Drosophila melanogaster: one gene and its partners. The protein of the gene in region 1 purifies or fractionates together with the protein of each later gene. This does not show direct contact. Each region holds a gene or a part of one and is shown in the gene's direction. Other genes may lie near its edges.

Region 1 (9,355 bases):
TGAGCTGTTTCAGCGCCTGTTTGGCCACAACGCACAGCACTCCCTCCTGGGAGCTCTTGTCCTCGAACTCCAGGATCTCCACACACTCCTTCAGCAGATCTATGGCGTCGACGAGGCGGGCACGCAGCTCGCCGCCCTTCAGCTTGCCGGCTATGAAGCCACTTTTGGCCAGCAGCACCAGTGGCACGTGCAGCTCGTAAAGATTCATGGCGCGTGTTCGACTCAGACCCGGTTCGAAGGTGTTCAGCACTCTCAGCACTTGGCGGCATAGCTCCGCCTTGCGCTCCAATTGGTGGTCCGGCAGTTGCACCATCTCGTAGCCCTGTACTCGCCCGTACATCTCGATGAGCAACTGCCTCAGCCCGGTGGCTATAAAGTGCAGCGGATGCAGCAGTGATTTGTACTTGCGCAACAGTCGTTCGATCTCCTCCAGCCGCTTGGCTGCCATGGGCAGCGCTTGCACGGCATTCACCTCGGATTGCAGGGATTGGAGCATCGCCAGTGCATCCGCATTGCTGGTGTCGGAGCCACAGTTCGCGCAGTTCCAACTAGTGTCCGGTTCTGCGTAGTGGATAAGGTCAGCTTATCACTTTCTAGAGGATCTTTTTCGCTCACCTGTTGGCTGCCTGGGCACTTGGAATCCCTCGGCGCACTGACCACACTTCAGGCTGGAGAAGTGCGTTCCCAATTCGGTGGGATCCAGACAGCGTTCGCATTGGCAGGTGAAGAACTTGCCCTGCTTCAGGTGCTTCTGTCTCTGGGCAGTGCCATCCAATGTGTAGGTGTAGCTGTGGTGCAGGGGCTGACCCTCCTCCAAGTCCACCATGGCGCGCAGTCGGATTCTTTGGAAGAGAAACAAATATAGGAGGACTTATTTTAGATGTGCAACAGCGGAAATGTAATTCTAGACATCTTGAACTAGAGAACTGAATTTACAAATCTATTTACAACTCACTTGTATCCCTCGCTGGGATAGATGCTCCTGGATGTGTTGGGCACGCAGTTGTGGGCCAGAATGCCGGTATAGGGAAAGAGGCACCTCAGTGGATAGCCCTTCGGGCTGCGCGCCTCGAAGGCGTTCACCTCCAGCACACCCACCACCTGCATGATCAGCTCCTCGCTGAATCGGTTGGCCAGTTGGCAGGGACCGCGCAAATACTGAGCGATATTAACGCGATCCGCATGCCAGACATCCGCGTCCCTTTGGCGCTCCTCCTTGTGGTGCTCCATGGGTGCCACCTCGTTGTCCCATCGCTCCGGATTCGCCTCCTTGGCCAACAGAACTCTGAAAGTAGAAAGTTTAAAAGGGTATTCCAAATGACAATCATATGAAGCACAACAAGTAACCTATTGATTATAATTAGCTACATTAAATTAAAAATCTTTCTCTTTTTTAATTGTTAATGAATCCTTTTGTATATAACTTTCATCTTGAGCGGATAAAATAGTGACGCTATCAGTTTGCCTGGTGCCTGGTGGTCTATTTTTGTTCCACCCGCTGGGCTTCACCTGAGCGGCATAATACAGTCCAATTGCGGACAGTGCCTGCTGCCGCTGGGCAGGCGGAAGAATCGTGCCCGAGCATCCTTCAGCTGGCTGCACTCCAGGCGGAAATGGGCGTTATCCGCTTGTTGGGCGCACTCCACGCACAGCGGCCAGCCACATTCGCTACACAGCTCCTCCTCCGGATCTGGGTTGGGTTCGTAGCAACCCAGGCACACCACCGGTCCATTGCACTTGGGCCCGACGGCAAAGGGCAGCTCCTCGATCAGCAGACCGTGGCCACGGATCGCTCCCTTGGCCACCAGATAGCGTCCGCAGACCGGACTCCACTGAACCGCTGTCCTATTCACCGACAGCGTTGGCGGCGATGTCATTTCGCTGACTGATGCCGGCTGGCCGCACTCAGATCTCAGATCTCATGTCATGGGCACACCCCACAGATGATGCCTCCTCCCCACTACATGACTACATTTCTGCCTGCTCCGACATAAAGCATCAAAATTGCTGGGCACAGTGGGCATGCGAGGTCCTAGGTGAGAAATTTTAGTTTTGAACAAATTGTCTTGAGAAAACATTGTTCAATTTCTATAATAACTAAAATACCTTACATTTTCATAAATTAAATAATTTACTGGTTGTAACTTTTAAGTTGCTTGTAACTTTTAAGTTGCTTGTAACTTTTAAGTTGCTTGGCTTTGTTAGTTCTATTTCTAAGTACTAAGCACCGATCTATTTAAACATGTGCTTAACATTATTTAAATAATAATTCACAGTGCTTACAGTTCAGTTTTGCTACGAAATATATAAAAACATGATGGTACATTGATCATAACGCGCCGCAACTATCATATACCAATTATTCTGTCATAATAATATGTACAAATATGGCTTGTTTCATGCCATAATTTTCTCCTTACTTTCATGCACTTTAAATTTAGCTATTTATTTTTTATTTTCTGTGCGATTTGCTCCACTGTCCCTTTCACAGACTTGTTAATCCATCCGTCCGCCTTCTTTGACGTAGAGTCGCCATGAGAATCTGTATATGCCGGCTAGCCTGCGAACTGCGAGAAATGGGCCGCTGCTGCCAAAACTAATATTCGGACAGACCGCCCAGGTTCCCCTAGTAGCACCCAGTAGCCCCTGCTGTACGGATGTACCCAGCACCATCACCCCCGCCCCGCTGGAGCGCCCGCGAACTAACCTCAATATGGTTATGCAATCCAACTGCGGGCAGACGCCATCATCGCTCACATTCCCGGCGAAAGTGACACGTGCGGCGGAGAAGACCTGGCACTCTCCGCGGTGCTCCGTGACGTCTTCGTCGTCGGCGCACGATCCGCACAGCGGCCAATCGCAGAGTTCGCAGCGGTCCAGCGAATCGCCGTCCTCTCCGAACTGCAGGAACTGGTAGCAGCCCAGGCACACGATTCCGCTGTCGCGCTTCGGTCCGCGTGCGAAGGGCAGCTCCTCCAGCACCAGCTCGCCCCGCTCCACGGAGCTAGAGGTGGCCAAGCAGCGTCCCAGCACGGCGTCCTCCTGCAGACGGGCCTTCAACATTCTGTCGCCGCACGGCAAATGCACTGGTCTCGCTTTTGGCCCATCCGAATGGGATTATGCGGTCGATTGGCGGCCCTGCACGCAGATTCGTCTAAAAATAAAAAGAGCATCGCACACACTTCATTGGTGTCAATCAATAAAGTTGTAATATATTTATTGCATTTTGATTGCTTTGGATTATAACTTTTTTAAAGCCCATTTACTTGTCCACAACTTTAAAGTTTTCGTTTGCAGGAAACCCTTTTATGTAAAAAAAAAACACTTTGATGTAAGTTAATTGTTCTTAAGATAACGAATTTCTTAATAGAATGATTGAATTCTAATTTCAATAATTATTTTAAGTAACCGTTAGTTTTCAAATTTCCGTTACAAAAAGTGTGACCATTGCCATTAAGAGTGACGCAGCGTTACCAGATAGTATATCTGCGGCTTGTTTTAGGGAATAATTATTGGACGAATTTTTAGGGTTGGTAACACTAAGGCACAGAATTACAAAATTTTTTGGTGTACGTTTGTCGTGGTGTCTCTGTTCCTCTGCGTTTCGCATTACACTCTAACCAAACTAAAACTCATCAAAAGTAAGTAGCTCAGGAGTAAACCCCCTCAAAATTCAGTGAAATGTGATGGATACCCCTATGGGTAGAAGGAAAATCAGGATTTTCGGTGCCAGTGATTTCATAACCTCGAAATGAAAAAATTGCAAGTAGACACGCGCATGAACGAAAAGCAAAAGGGCTGAGCACTTTTTTGTTGGATGACGATGGGCGAGCTTCTTATCACCAAATCACGCAATAATTAATTGATAAATCCGAAATTTAAAGGGGATATTAAGCCGGTTAGCTGTCACACACACATCCACACATGAACAGTCCACGCACACCAATGCCTTCGCAGTTCATTGGCAGCAGCTGCCGGCGAAAAAAGGGGGCAAAGAAGCAGAGAGATCGATGGAAAAGTGCCTGGCGAATTTCCGTTACGTAACGCATGTCGCATCAATTCCGTTCGTTATCGTCATGTTGCCATCCACCAGCGTGCAGCTCGCTCAATAAACATTTTCGATTTCACTCTTTACCGTTCTTTATCGTCGTTTTGTTTGTTTGTGGTCATGTGAGGAGGTGGGTGCACTTCGCGATTGTGGGTGGTATTTTCGCAGTGACGTCACCTGGAAAATCAATAGACCACCTTTTCGGGCAGCTATTCACTTAGCTTTCCACTTTCCCTCATCGATTTCCCTGCTGTTATGCAACTGTCGAAAAAATGAGCTGCACATCCACCCAACCACCCCCTTTATAATCTGCTTGTCAAGGTCATCGTCAACGAGATGCTGATTCATTTTCACCGGGACATCCACCTGATAGTATTATTTTCAGCATCTAGTGACCAGGTTATATCACCTGACTTCCGGAACAATAAGAGCCCATCCCATTTAACGTTTGGCTGCCGGCCATAAAGATTTTTGTCTGCTGGCCGCTGCTTTTCATAATTTTCTGCCTTGATTGCCTTGAGTTTCCCCCCACCAATCCCCCCGAACACAACATGAAATATTTATATTGTTATATCTATATAATAATTTCAATTAGATGTTTTGGGTTATTTTTGTTTGATTTTTTTTATGCTCAATATCGGATAGAAATTTATTTATCCGCGACTAATATTCCTACCGCGACTGTGAGTCGCATTCCTGACGTCACGCAAATAGAAACAGCGAAGCAGTGACCACAGCAGACGTTGCAAATGTGCAGTTAGCTTCTGAGTCAATGATCGCTAGCCTAACGGGACTGAACTGACCAGCAATTAATGCCAGCAAGAACGGAACGTAAACATAGAGAGAGGCAAACCTGTGGCCAGATAAATAGGGAAAATCTCAGTATTTTTATTAAAATTTTAGTTTAAAAAACCTATAAAAATATTTGAAAAATAAATTTTGATTTAAATGGTTTTGCATTGGTATAGAAAACCCTTAATTTCTTGGAGTAAAATAGACTTAGTCACTATTTGTTTTCTATCTTCGCTTCTATTTTTTGCGCCACTTTATTTTGCCCAGACGTGCATTGACCCCCTCCTCAGTCACTCAGAATTTTCGCTGCTTCAGTTGGTGATTCTTTGCATGTGGCCGCCTTGAACACTAATCTAAATTGATTTCTTTATTTTCGCCGCACAAAATTGACATTTAGCCAAAGTGAAAATGGGGAAAAAGCCCTCGAAATTCTTGGGACATGTTGATGCTGTTTTTTGGCGTCTTTTAGTTTTCACTTTTCATTTGCGGCCGATAGAACATTTTGAAATCAAGTCGAGCAAAAAGTAATAATCATTATGTTGCTGATAAGATTAAACTTATCGTTCGCTAAACGCAATTAATGACCTGGCGAGTGAAATGATTTCGCAATAAGTATCATCGTCATGATTATCGATTATTCACCAACTAATTGAAGGTGCGATTTAATGCATTCCATTTCAATCCATTCCAGATGGCTCCTCCATCATACAGCGATTTGGGCAAACAGGCTCGCGACATCTTCAGCAAAGGCTACAACTTTGGCCTGTGGAAGCTCGATCTGAAGACTAAGACCTCGTCGGGCATTGAGTTCAACACAGCCGGACACTCCAACCAGGAGTCTGGAAAGGTCTTCGGCTCCCTGGAGACCAAGTACAAGGTCAAGGACTACGGCCTGACCCTCACCGAGAAGTGGAACACAGACAACACGCTGTTCACCGAGGTTGCTGTCCAGGATCAGCTCCTCGAGGGTCTGAAGCTGTCCCTGGAGGGCAACTTTGCTCCTCAGTCTGGGTAAGGATCACATGTTATTACATATATGTTCACTGCAGAATAATTAATATTGCATATTTAATTAAAAATCGTCAGAAACAAGAACGGCAAGTTCAAGGTTGCCTACGGCCATGAGAACGTCAAGGCCGATTCGGATGTGAACATTGATCTGAAGGGCCCCTTGATCAATGCCTCTGCCGTGCTTGGCTACCAGGGATGGTTGGCCGGCTACCAGACCGCATTTGACACACAACAGTCCAAGCTGACCACCAACAACTTTGCCCTTGGCTACACCACCAAGGACTTTGTTCTGCACACAGCTGTGTAAGTATTGCAATTGCCACGCATGGCAAATGAAATCAATGCAAACTAATGATTGCCTTGTCCGGTGTTTAGCAACGATGGCCAGGAGTTCAGCGGCTCGATCTTCCAACGCACTTCGGACAAGCTGGATGTGGGTGTACAGCTGTCGTGGGCCAGCGGCACCAGCAACACCAAGTTCGCCATCGGCGCCAAGTATCAGCTGGATGATGATGCCAGCGTGCGCGCTAAGGTGAACAACGCCAGCCAGGTGGGTCTGGGCTACCAGCAGAAGTTGCGCGACGGAGTCACCCTGACCCTGTCCACGCTGGTCGATGGCAAGAACTTCAATGCCGGCGGCCACAAGATCGGTGTGGGTCTGGAGCTGGAGGCCTAAGTCCGTGGTTTTCCGCTAGTCGTGAAATCCTTGAACGTTGTCTAACATCCCCACACGCCCAACAACAACAACAACAACAATAACAGCAGCCAGACAAGTGCAGAAACAACAACAAGATCAAACAAAATAAAAGATACGATATTCTTTAAAAACAAACAACACACAGTCAAATATAAAGAGAATCTGCACATCTTAGCGATTCGATTGGATTGGATTAGTTGTCAGCCGGCCATCACCACATCCGCCCATTCCCTGCCCCAGCCACGCGAATCTGCAGGAGAGACACTGCCAAACAAACGATGCAGGGGGATGGATGGGTGGTGCAATCGATGGGTCGGTCAGGTCAGTCCGTCGTCGTTGGATGTAGCTTTGATTAGTGCATTGAATATTAGCGAAATTGTTGTTGACAAAAGTGCAGTAAAAATACATTTACCTATTAAACGAAAAAAAAAAACAAAATGGAAAAGACGGAATATTATGGCTCAAAAGGCATTGCATTTTTTTCAGTTCTCAAGGCTTTACGGATTGCCTGCAAAATCCTGCGGCGAAACTAGGACACACATAACACCAAAATCACATCCTTAATAACAATCTTTACCTTTTCGTTGTGCATTTACCTGAGAAATAAATCGAGAAGAAATAAATTATCTTGATTGCAGCGTTGGTGGTGGAAGGCTTGGGAATGGTTAGCTTAATTTAAGGATTTAAGCTTGAAAGAAAAAACTGTATAATAAGATAAGTACCTTATACTGATCCCAAGTTCTTTGTGCTTGAAAAACTTAACTTTTTCGGTTGGGCACAGGACTCCGTGCGTTTTAGTTCACAGGTCTCCAGCGTGTATAAAACTCGATACTGATCAGGCAGCGTTAGACATAAATTTTCGGCTAATCGAGGCTGTTGAAAAGTAGACAAAAAATTTCGAAATTAGTCGGGCCATATATACCATACCACCTATTCATACAGCCCGTAATGGCCGCCAAAACACCGACATACCCAGATCTGGGCAAGCTGGCCCGCGATCTCTTCAAGCGCGGCTACCATCCGGGCATCTGGCAGATCGACTGCAAGACCCTGACCAATTCGGGGATTGAGTTCTTCACCACCGGCTTCGCCAGCCAGGACAACAGCAAGGTGACCGGCTCGCTTCAGAGCAAGTACAAGATCGAGGACCAAGGCCTGACCCTAACCGAGCGATGGAACACGGAGAACTGGCTCTTCGGTGAGATTATGCACCGGGATAAGTTGGCACAGGGCCTGATGTTGGCCGTCGAGGCCAAGTTTCAGCCGGGATCAAAGTGCGTATTCCTTTGGGGATCGTTTAGGTAGCATCCTTTAATTATATAAACATCTCGGGTCAACAGTGAGGCGGATGGCAAGTTCAAGATGGGCTATGCCCAGGACAACTTTAACTTCCTGGCCGACATTGGACTGAACTCGGAGCCGATACTCAACTGTTCGCTGGTTGTGGGCCACAAGGAGTTCCTCGGCGGCGTGGGCACCGAATTTGACGTTGGCAACACCGAACTCAAGGGCTGGAAGGTGGCCCTTGGTTGGACAAATGAAACTGCCACCCTCCATGGCGAGCTGTAAGTTCCCCGTGTGACGAGATGTGGGAAGACTTTATCTTATGTCTTTTAATCAATTTGCAGGAAGAACGGCGACACCTGGTTGGCCTCGCTGTTCTACAAGGCGAGCGAGAAGATCGATGCCGGTATCGAGGTAACCAAGGGAGCCGGCGGCGGCGAAGCTGCCGAGGGTGAACAGCAGGGCGGAGATGTGGTCGTCAATCTGGGCATGATCTACCACTTGGAGGAGGATGCCCTCGTACGCGCCAAGGTCAACAACCTGGTGGAGCTGGGCCTGGGCTATGAACAGAAACTGCGCGACGGCATCACCGCCTCCATATCCGCCGTGCTGGATTGCAACAACTTTAAGGACGGAAACCATCGGTTCGGCGTGGGAATTGCCCTCCAGTGCTAAAATGACTGCCAATCACTTAACGATTTCAATTTCTAAATTTATTTTTAAGTTTATCTTTATTCAAATGACAAATATATTTTGTTCTTCATAATGGCAATATAACAATCTGAGTAATTAATTAAGCAGCTTAAATACAGGCTGTAAAATATTACAAATTAAAAGTAAATAATCTTGTTAATTTTGATCACAGCTGCTTCGATATTATTATCCAATTTCCAAAGAACTCCAAAATTTCAAGTGTGTTTAATTAAATTTTTCTTTTAATTATTGTACTTTTTATATGGCACAATGCCCATGAGAGAACGGATACGGAACTTGTTCAGAAGGAACAAGCGAAAGCGGGCTGCATCGGATTACCTGGAACCCCACGATGAAGGTGGTGGCAATGTCCAGGACAACCGGAGTGCAGAAGAAGATAAGGAGGAGAACAAGGTGGAGATGCTGCCGCCACCACCGATGGAGGGTGAGATGCCCAGCTATTTCCACGTTGGTCTGCTGGCCAAGATGTGCCTCATCCACGGCTACACCATTGGCCGCTGGAAGCTGCAGTGCACCTCGAAAACCGAAAAGGATTTCTATTTGAGCAGCTTCGGCGAGGGTTATCCAACATGGAACACTGTCTACGGCGGACTGGAGGCGTACAAGGAGAGTGGAAACTTTCATGCATCCCTCGCCTGGTTGTCGGATGGAGACTTGCTATCGGATCTTGGAGTGCATGGTGATGGGCTGGGCGGCACATGGTCCACTGTATTGAAGTCTATGGTCAGCTACCCTGAAGGGTAAGTGGGATTCGAATTTGCTGGAAGGGATTCAAGAGATTATCTTTCGTAAGTACATATTATTCTTTA
Region 2 (4,259 bases), on another chromosome or scaffold:
CTTCGGCTTCTGAGGCAAGCAAAACGCCTAGTTCAGCATTCATTTTCGGTAGCACGGGTATGTATAATTCGACGTTGACCTCAAGATAAAAGGATCTAACCGCTTTTTATGTTCACTTCAGATAAATCGGAGCCTGGAAAGGATGCTGGCCCATTAGCTAATCTTCAAAAACTAGCATCAGGCGAAGGACAAGGAAACGTTTTGGGATCTATATTCCGTAGCGGCTCGTCAAACGAAAATTCGTCTGACGGTTCTGTCAAGTTCTTTTTCGGGGGTGGAAATAAAGCGGCTGAGCAACAGAAGAAAGATTCCTCAGAGTCTGTCTTCGGAGGCAATAAAGCGGATTCCCAATCGCCAGCGACCCAAGAAGCACCGAAGTTGGCCTTCGGTGGAATTGCCGCACCTGTGTTCGGAGACGCCAATCCTTTTGGAGGCCACAAAGTTAATTTGCAAAAATCAGATGGCAAGGAAGAACCAAAATCTATCATTGGCGGAACCCCATTGTTATTTGGAGGGTCCAACGCCTTTGGAATACCCAAAATTGAAACCCAGTCACCTGCTAAAGACTTTGTGTTTGGCAGTGCACCCGCTTTTGGACAAATGGCAACCTTCTCATTTACAGCTGCAAAAAATGAAAAGGAAAAGGACATAACCTCGAATAACACCACTGATCTTAAAGCCGAAGGCAAGGAAAAGAAGGAGTTGGTGCCGGAGACGACCAGCACATTTGCCGATTTGGCCAAGACAGGCAGCACGTTTGCAGATTTGGCAAGCAATCCGGGCGGCACTTTTGCGGACTTAGCGAACAAGACGGGCAACGACTTTGCCAACCTGTCGGCCAATAGCCAGGGCACTACCGTGGGATTCAACAAGTCCGCCGGGGGCGGCTTTTATAACCTCACGCATCAGAACGCTTTCAAGAACTTCGAGTCGCCGCAAGCCACAGAAGAGTGCGATGATGACGGCGACGCGACCACTGATGACAACTACGATCCGCACTATGATGCCATTGTAGAGCTGCCGGATGAGATAGTTGTCACCACGGGAGAGGAGAACGAGACTAAGCTGTTTGGCGAGCGGGCGAAGCTTTATCGCTATGACGCCGAATCGAAACAATGGAAGGAGCGAGGTAAGCTGTAGTAATAGTCCCTTTCTTATTCACACTAAAAGTTTTTATAAAACCAAAAAAAAAAAAAAAAGGTGTCGGTGAGATAAAGGTGCTGGAGCACCCGGAGCTGCAGACATTCCGACTGATCATGCGGCAGGAGCAGATCCACAAGCTGGTGCTTAACATGAATATCTCCGCCTCCCTGCAAATGGATTACATGAACGCGCAGATGAAGAGCTTCCTGTGGGCCGGCTACAACTACGCGGTGGACGCAGAGGGTAAAGTTGACACCGAGGGCGTCCTGGAACGCCTTGCCTGTCGATTCGCCAAGGAAGAGATCGCCAGTGAGTTCCTCAACACGGTCAATTCGTGCATAAAACGAGCCAAGGCCTTGCAAGGTGATGAGGAGAACAAGAATGACGACGCGCCGGAGGAGCAGGCGAGCTCATAAGCAAACCGGATCTAAATATATGTAGCATGTCTAGGATTGTGTTAGAATATTCATCCAAAACAGTAGCGACAATGGCTATTTCACATTTTGCTAATAAAATTTCGATAAACATTAATATTACATTTGAAATAAATTTGACTATTGAATAAAGCAATCGATATATTAGAGAGGAGACAAATTCGGACGTACAACCATATAGCACAAGGAAACTGGCTATGTTTTTATATATTAAATGTACCTCTACCTATTTTTAAAATATCGACAGCACTTAGATAAAAAATTAAAACAAACAATTACCTTTCGCGATAATCGCTCAACTCCCGATTGTTCCATCCCCAGCCGATAGTTTGACAGCCCTGCCACTGAGAGAGCATAATGACGTGGTGAACTCTGTGTGAAAAAAGAACAATAAATTGCCGACAAATCTCTAGTGTAATTAAATTAGTTACCGCATAGAAACGCACTAAACTGTGGCCAGAACTTTACGAATCCCGAATACTGTCTATATAGCAATCTCAGGAAACTGACAGTTGAAACAGCCCTACAACAAGGAGGAAGAAGAAGAAGGCGACGACGGGCGGTGCAGAATATGAATTAGAGAATAATTAGCGATTGAAGCGCGTCTAGTTTGCCAGTTGGCCCATTTCGTGTTTTGTTAGCCCCTTTCCGGCAGCCCCTGCCCCCGTCCCGGAAAATTTTGCAATTCCCGAATCGATACACGTGTGCAGCGAGAACAACGACAGCGTCAAAGTCAACAATAAAAGTCGAGGGCCGGAGATTAATGAGAGACTACCGACGACGACCATGATGAACGAGGACAGCAGTGCTGCCGGCGGCGGCGGGGTTAAGAAGTTCTTTCAGCGCCTCTCACAGGTAAGTAATTGTGGATAGCCCGTACGTGCCGGGAACTAACCCGCATCCTTTGCTTCCGCAGACCTACCAATCCGCCTTGGACCGTAGCACACCGCACACACGAATGCGCTGGGTGTTCGCCGGCTTTCTGCTCCTGCTCTTTGTGCTGCGCATCTTCATCTATCAGGGCTGGTACATCGTGTGCTATGCGCTTGGCATTTACCACTTGAACCTGTTTATCGCTTTTTTAACGCCCAAGATCGACCCGGAGTTCGATCCGTATTCGCAGGATGACGAGGACGAGGGACCCAATCTGCCAACTCGCAGCAACGAAGAGTTCCGGCCATTCATTCGCCGCCTGCCGGAGTTCAAGTTCTGGCTGTCGGTGGCGAAGAGCACGCTCATCGGTCTGATTTGTACGTTCTTCGATTTCTTCAACGTGCCGGTATTCTGGCCCATCCTGGTCATGTACTTTATCACGCTCTTCTGCATCACGATGAAGCGCCAGATCAAGCATATGATCAAGTACAAGTACTTGCCGTTTACCCGCAATAAACCGCGCTACCAGCGGGTGAATGATCTGGCGGGTTCCGGACCCGGTTCCGTGGCGGGCAACTCAAAGTGACAATTAGCCGCACAGACGTCGGACACGCGGGCGACGGCAGCGGGATCGGGTGATCCTTCAAATGCCTCTTCTGCAGCTGCAGCGCCACCATCACCAACCAGCGACAGCGCAGCGACCAAGGATGTGGGGTCGCCAACAGCATCGTCCATCAAACCACCGCAGATCATTGCCATTGAGGACTACTAGAGAAAGCTACCGAAAGCAGCCCGGAATGGGAACCAGCAGCATAACATCAACCAGAAACAAGCTTATAATATGATTTTCCTTTTCGGTTTGTGTAGCATTTTTCGTTTCACTGTTGAGTTGTCGTACGGCGTCTTGTGCAAAATACCTTGTTTATTGTTTAATCTAACTGCTTGTTTAAATTTATATTTATTTACAATGCTTTCTATCTATTGTAAATCCCAAACGATACCGAAATACTGCAGATCAGCTCTAATTTAGTTTTTCATCCTAATCCTAACAATAATTTAATAACTCTTCTATCCAAAAAGTAGACTTACTGTATTTGAATCCAATTATTTTTGATTATCGTGCTAAGATGCTATAATAATATGTCTAAATATATATACAAACATATATATATATATATTTTGCATTATGATTATACAATTTTTGTTAGCGTTAACTATACAGAATGTTAAAAAAAGGCGAATTGAAAACTGAAACTATAGGAAGTGTACACTGGGTGCGTCTTATGAATAAAGAAAGACAAAAGAAAACCAAATAATTTATCGTTGAATTTTGAACCATTTGGAAAAGGTTGATGGCTTTTGTGGCGTGGTTTTTGTATTTATCTAATCGCTTCTGCATGTAGTTTGCTGTTCGATTTTAAGATACGAAACCAATTTTGATTAGGCCAATGCGTGAAATTGCTTTAGCGATTAGCACAATCACTAAGTGGTTATTTAAAAACGACTCATTTTCTGAACAGTAAATACATTTTATTTTTGTTAAAACGAAGCACACACCAACAAAACGAGCACACGTCATCTAGTCTAGAAAACACGATACAAATAGTTAAAACCCTAGCACGGCAATAATAAAAAAGTTCAAATGCACATACAAATATATATATAAAAATGAATGATAATACGGGAATTGTAATATATGAATAGGCTAACCATGCAAAACAATCGCACATTTTGATTAATTATAAAAAAGTGATTTAATTATGGGCACTTGGGAATACTTTAAGGGCAGCGGGACAAGAGAGATTTCAC
Region 3 (3,812 bases), on another chromosome or scaffold:
GCACAATGCGTTTCTGGTACTCCACCTCGTCCAGCAGTTTGCCCAGCTGCAAGATTATAACTCTTTGTGAAATCAAGTCATATAGGAGTATGCCAATTCAATAGACAACCTTAAACATGGGAGCCAGCACGGCAGAGCCCGCATCTCCGTACTCGTAGGCTGTTATCAGCTGTGGAAGAATCTTATGCCTGCACACGTTGTCCGGAAAGTTGTCGAGATGCGTGGTCAGACCACTGAAGAAGCGATTCTTCTCCGCCTTGTCCTTGATTTGGATCTCCTCTAGGAAGAGCAGTGTGTCCACCAAATCGTTTTTGAAAAAGCCTCCAGGCTTGCGGCAACGTGTGATTATATCCGCCGGGTTGGGACGATTCGAAGGCGAGGCGCCAACCAGCTCACAATAGAGCGATTGCAGGGACTTGGGTATGTGTTCTATATCCTTGAGGTTGGAGCGTTGCTTGAGCACACCGTTGAAAGCTTCCCACACGAGGCAGCCCAGGCCCCACATGTCCACGGAGCTGGTAGAGAATCCGATTTGAAGGATTATTAAAATAGTCTAAGGTGAGAGGATTACGTACCATTTGGTGGCCGCCTTGAGCTTGCTCGGATCGTTCTTTTCGGGGGAATCGTAGACCTCCAGGGTCACAGGTATTTTGGCGGGCGGCATGGGATTACCATCCGCCGCTGAGACGTACTCCAGGCTGCCCAGTTTCCATTCGCCGGAGGCATTGACAAACACCGACCAGGCGGAAACATTGTTGTGTCGCAGATTGCCATCGTTGTTGAGAAAGGACAGGGCGCGCTGAAAGGGATTGGTGACTTGGTTAGCTAGGGCAAAATATCAGGGATATGGATACCCACAGTGATCTGGAAGATGCCCCAGGCCAGGTAGAGGCCCTTTTGGACATTGTCGCTGCCCAGCTTGGAAAAGTAAGTGCCCAGCGGATCCACCGCCTCGGTGGCCACGTACAACATCTTGTCCGTTTCCAGCGAGTCCAGATACTGCAGGATGCTGGGGTGACGCAATGTCTTGAGGCGCTTCAGCGCCGCCTTGGCCAGCTCGCACTTGGTGTCGGATCCGCTACGGATGTCGTAGACGAACACAGACACCTCCTCCAGCGTCGTCTTGCGCTTGGCCTTGTGCAGCGTCCATATGGAGTATTGGTCAAAGCCGCCCACCGGTTCGCCAATGTCGTAGGGGAAGTCTTTCGAGGAGTCGCGCGAGAAGAACGACCACATTATGTGTTTTGCTCGGCGGCTCAATATTTTGTTACTGTTGTGTCACACAGCAACAGCAACAACAACAGCAACAACTGGCGATTGCAACTGCAACAACAACGCACTGCGCAGGCAACACACGCACGCACACACGCACGCACGCACTCACACACACGCACACCTTGTTGCTGCCACACAAAGGCACTGAAATCGGTGGAGCCCCGATTCTCGGTTTATCCTCAAGCACTATGCCTCTGTCTTTAGCCTTGGCTTGAGCCCTATCCTCCTCATGCCAATCCAGCCGCCTGATGTCCTTTATTTTCCTCCGATGCGCAGCAACAATTTTCCAGCTTTGCTTACGCACACACACACGCACACAGCTAACTTATCCGCTGTTTTTCGTCCCCAGAGGTCTCATCCCTGGGATCCCGGGTGTCCTGGACAGGGCGATCGTGTCTATGTGGCTCTGCTGCGGGTCGGGGGAGTCAGTAGATCGGATCGGGCGCTCGTCTCCGTCGAATTATCCTAATCTTTTTCCCGAGTACGTCAGCTTTTTTTTGCGTGAGGCGTTAGTGACGGAACTTCGTGGCTCGTGCGTGAGCAGCTGATTCCAAAACAGAGCTGGCAAGGAGAAGGAAAACTCTGGTCGAGGGTAGAAAACAAGCTGGCATCTTTGGCAAACCTCTTAATCCTTATCAATTATTATTCTGTTTTTAACTCTATTGTCATAATTATGAGTTACATAAATTCAAATTAATTTCAAGCTTTATTGTGCATTCTGAAGCTTTCCAAAGAAGTTTTGTATTTTATCCAATATTAATAGTTATATGTAGCACAAATCCATTATCCGAAATTTCCATAATTAAAATAAATTATTTAATATAATATTTTACCGTTCACCACGAATCGCCACCGCGTTAACCCGAACTGGGTGGCAACTCTGCTCGGTGTTATAACACTCGTTGTGGCGCAGCCAACTTAACGCAAGGTAGGTGAATTTTCTCAATTTTTGCCGAGTGAATCGAGCTAATTTTCGCGACAGGGAATCTTCGACAACTCACAGGATGATGATGCAACGCACCCAGCTCCTGCTGCCCCTGGCCATGGAGGCCACCATGCTGGCCCAGCAGCAGCGTGGCATGGCCACCCTGAAGATGATTTCCATCCGCCTGAAGTCGGTGAAGAACATTCAGAAAATTACGCAATCGATGAAGATGGTGTCCGCTGCCAAGTACGCTCGTGCCGAGCGAGACTTGAAGGCGGCTCGTCCTTACGGCATCGGCGCCCAGCAGTTCTTCGAGAAGACGGAGATCCAGCCGGACGAGAAGGCGGAGCCCAAGAAGCTGCTCATCGCAGTGACTTCGGACCGTGGTCTTTGCGGTGCCGTCCACACTGGTGTGGCCCGTCTCATTCGCGGCGAACTGGCCCAGGACGAGGCCAACACTAAGGTGTTCTGCGTGGGCGACAAGTCGCGCGCGATTCTGTCCCGTCTGTACGGCAAGAACATCCTGATGGTGGCCAACGAGGTGGGCCGACTGCCCCCCACTTTCCTGGACGCCTCGAAGATTGCCAACGAGGTTCTGCAGACCGGTTACGATTACACCGAGGGCAAGATCGTGTACAACCGTTTCAAGTCGGTGGTGTCCTACCAGTGCTCCACCCTCCCCATCTTCAGCGGATCCACCGTGGAGAAGTCGGAGAAGCTGGCCGTCTACGACTCGCTCGACAGCGACGTGGTCAAGAGCTATCTGGAGTTCTCGCTGGCCTCGCTCATCTTCTACACCATGAAGGAGGGCGCCTGCTCGGAGCAGTCCTCCCGTATGACTGCCATGGACAACGCTTCCAAGAACGCCGGTGAGATGATCGACAAGCTGACCCTCACCTTCAACCGTACCCGACAGGCGGTCATCACTCGCGAGCTGATTGAAATCATCTCCGGTGCCGCCGCCCTCACATAAGCGAATGGAATGTGTTCGAACAGCTCTAACGATTCATACAGCTAATTGCATATGGTGCCAGGCACCTGGAGCTACGCCTGGAGCCCTAGTAATGTTACTCTTTCAGAAAAACCCCAGAATAAATAGCGTGGAACGAACGAAAATAACTTTAACCATGGAGTCCTTACCTAATTGGAGTGGGAGGCAAGGAATTTGAAAGCACTTGCACAGGTCTGTTTGGTTTTTACACATTGATATCATGGGATTCGATTGCATTCTTATGCAAAGACCCATTGATATAACTTAATGTGCATAAAGTCTCAAATTTCAAGTGGCAATGACTAATGACCAAAAAACTATTGGAACGTTTATGTATATTTTGATACTCTTTAAACTTTCAGAAATTGGTGGTATCTACACTTTGTGCTTATCTATGGAATTAAGGCGTGGGATTTCAATGGGATGCTTCTTCGTTGCCTAGCACATATTCTGCAGCACATTCAGTATGTAGGCTCCAATGTCCTCGTCCTGGTTGGTCCACGATATCAAAATGTTCTTCTGCTTGGGATCCTTCTCGTCCTCCTCCACCTTCACCTCAACGGATTCGATGGCTATGGAGCCGTTCTCCTGCATCGTCACCGTCCAGCCGGCTAGCTTTTC

What was found. The genes of interacting proteins can lie anywhere in the genome.
Region 2: the proteins of porin (region 1) and CG11857 purify together in Drosophila melanogaster (affinity purification with mass spectrometry, with the first as the bait; one large-scale study listed by BioGRID). This does not show direct contact.
Region 3: the proteins of porin (region 1) and ATPsyngamma purify together in Drosophila melanogaster (affinity purification with mass spectrometry, with the first as the bait; one large-scale study listed by BioGRID). This does not show direct contact.

The regions. Positions count from the first base shown.
Region 1 is NT_033779.5:10,845,040-10,854,394, reverse strand, and holds porin (porin), read left to right. Parts: upstream 1-3,546; 5' UTR 3,547-3,641; exon of another isoform or gene 3,642-4,879; intron 4,880-5,329; exon of another isoform or gene 5,330-5,364; intron 5,365-5,531; coding exon 5,532-5,851; intron 5,852-5,926; coding exon 5,927-6,154; intron 6,155-6,226; coding exon 6,227-6,527; 3' UTR 6,528-6,970; downstream 6,971-9,355. Other genes in the region: SmydA-3 (SET and MYND domain containing, arthropod-specific, member 3), read right to left, coding at 1-561, 616-842, 956-1,285, 1,510-1,877; Porin2, read left to right, coding at 7,497-7,822, 7,889-8,113, 8,177-8,507; CG17139 (uncharacterized protein), read left to right, coding at 8,796-9,286. UniProt on the Drosophila melanogaster protein: Forms a channel through the mitochondrial outer membrane and also the plasma membrane.
Region 2 is NT_033777.3:25,257,001-25,261,259, forward strand, and holds CG11857 (uncharacterized protein), read left to right. Parts: upstream 1-1,897; 5' UTR 1,898-2,363; coding exon 2,364-2,432; intron 2,433-2,493; coding exon 2,494-3,036; coding exon of another isoform or gene 3,037-3,222; 3' UTR 3,223-3,759; downstream 3,760-4,259. Other genes in the region: Nup358 (nucleoporin 358kD), read left to right, coding at 1-57, 122-1,129, 1,201-1,559; Kdsr (3-ketodihydrosphingosine reductase), read right to left, coding at 4,256-4,259.
Region 3 is NT_033777.3:29,747,215-29,751,026, reverse strand, and holds ATPsyngamma (ATP synthase, gamma subunit), read left to right. Parts: upstream 1-1,863; 5' UTR 1,864-2,203; exon of another isoform or gene 2,204-2,257; 5' UTR 2,258-2,279; coding exon 2,280-3,173; 3' UTR 3,174-3,312; downstream 3,313-3,812. Other genes in the region: yata, read right to left, coding at 1-46, 110-515, 576-799, 859-1,236; IntS11 (integrator 11), read right to left, coding at 3,630-3,812. UniProt on the Drosophila melanogaster protein: Mitochondrial membrane ATP synthase (F(1)F(0) ATP synthase or Complex V) produces ATP from ADP in the presence of a proton gradient across the membrane which is generated by electron transport complexes of the respiratory chain.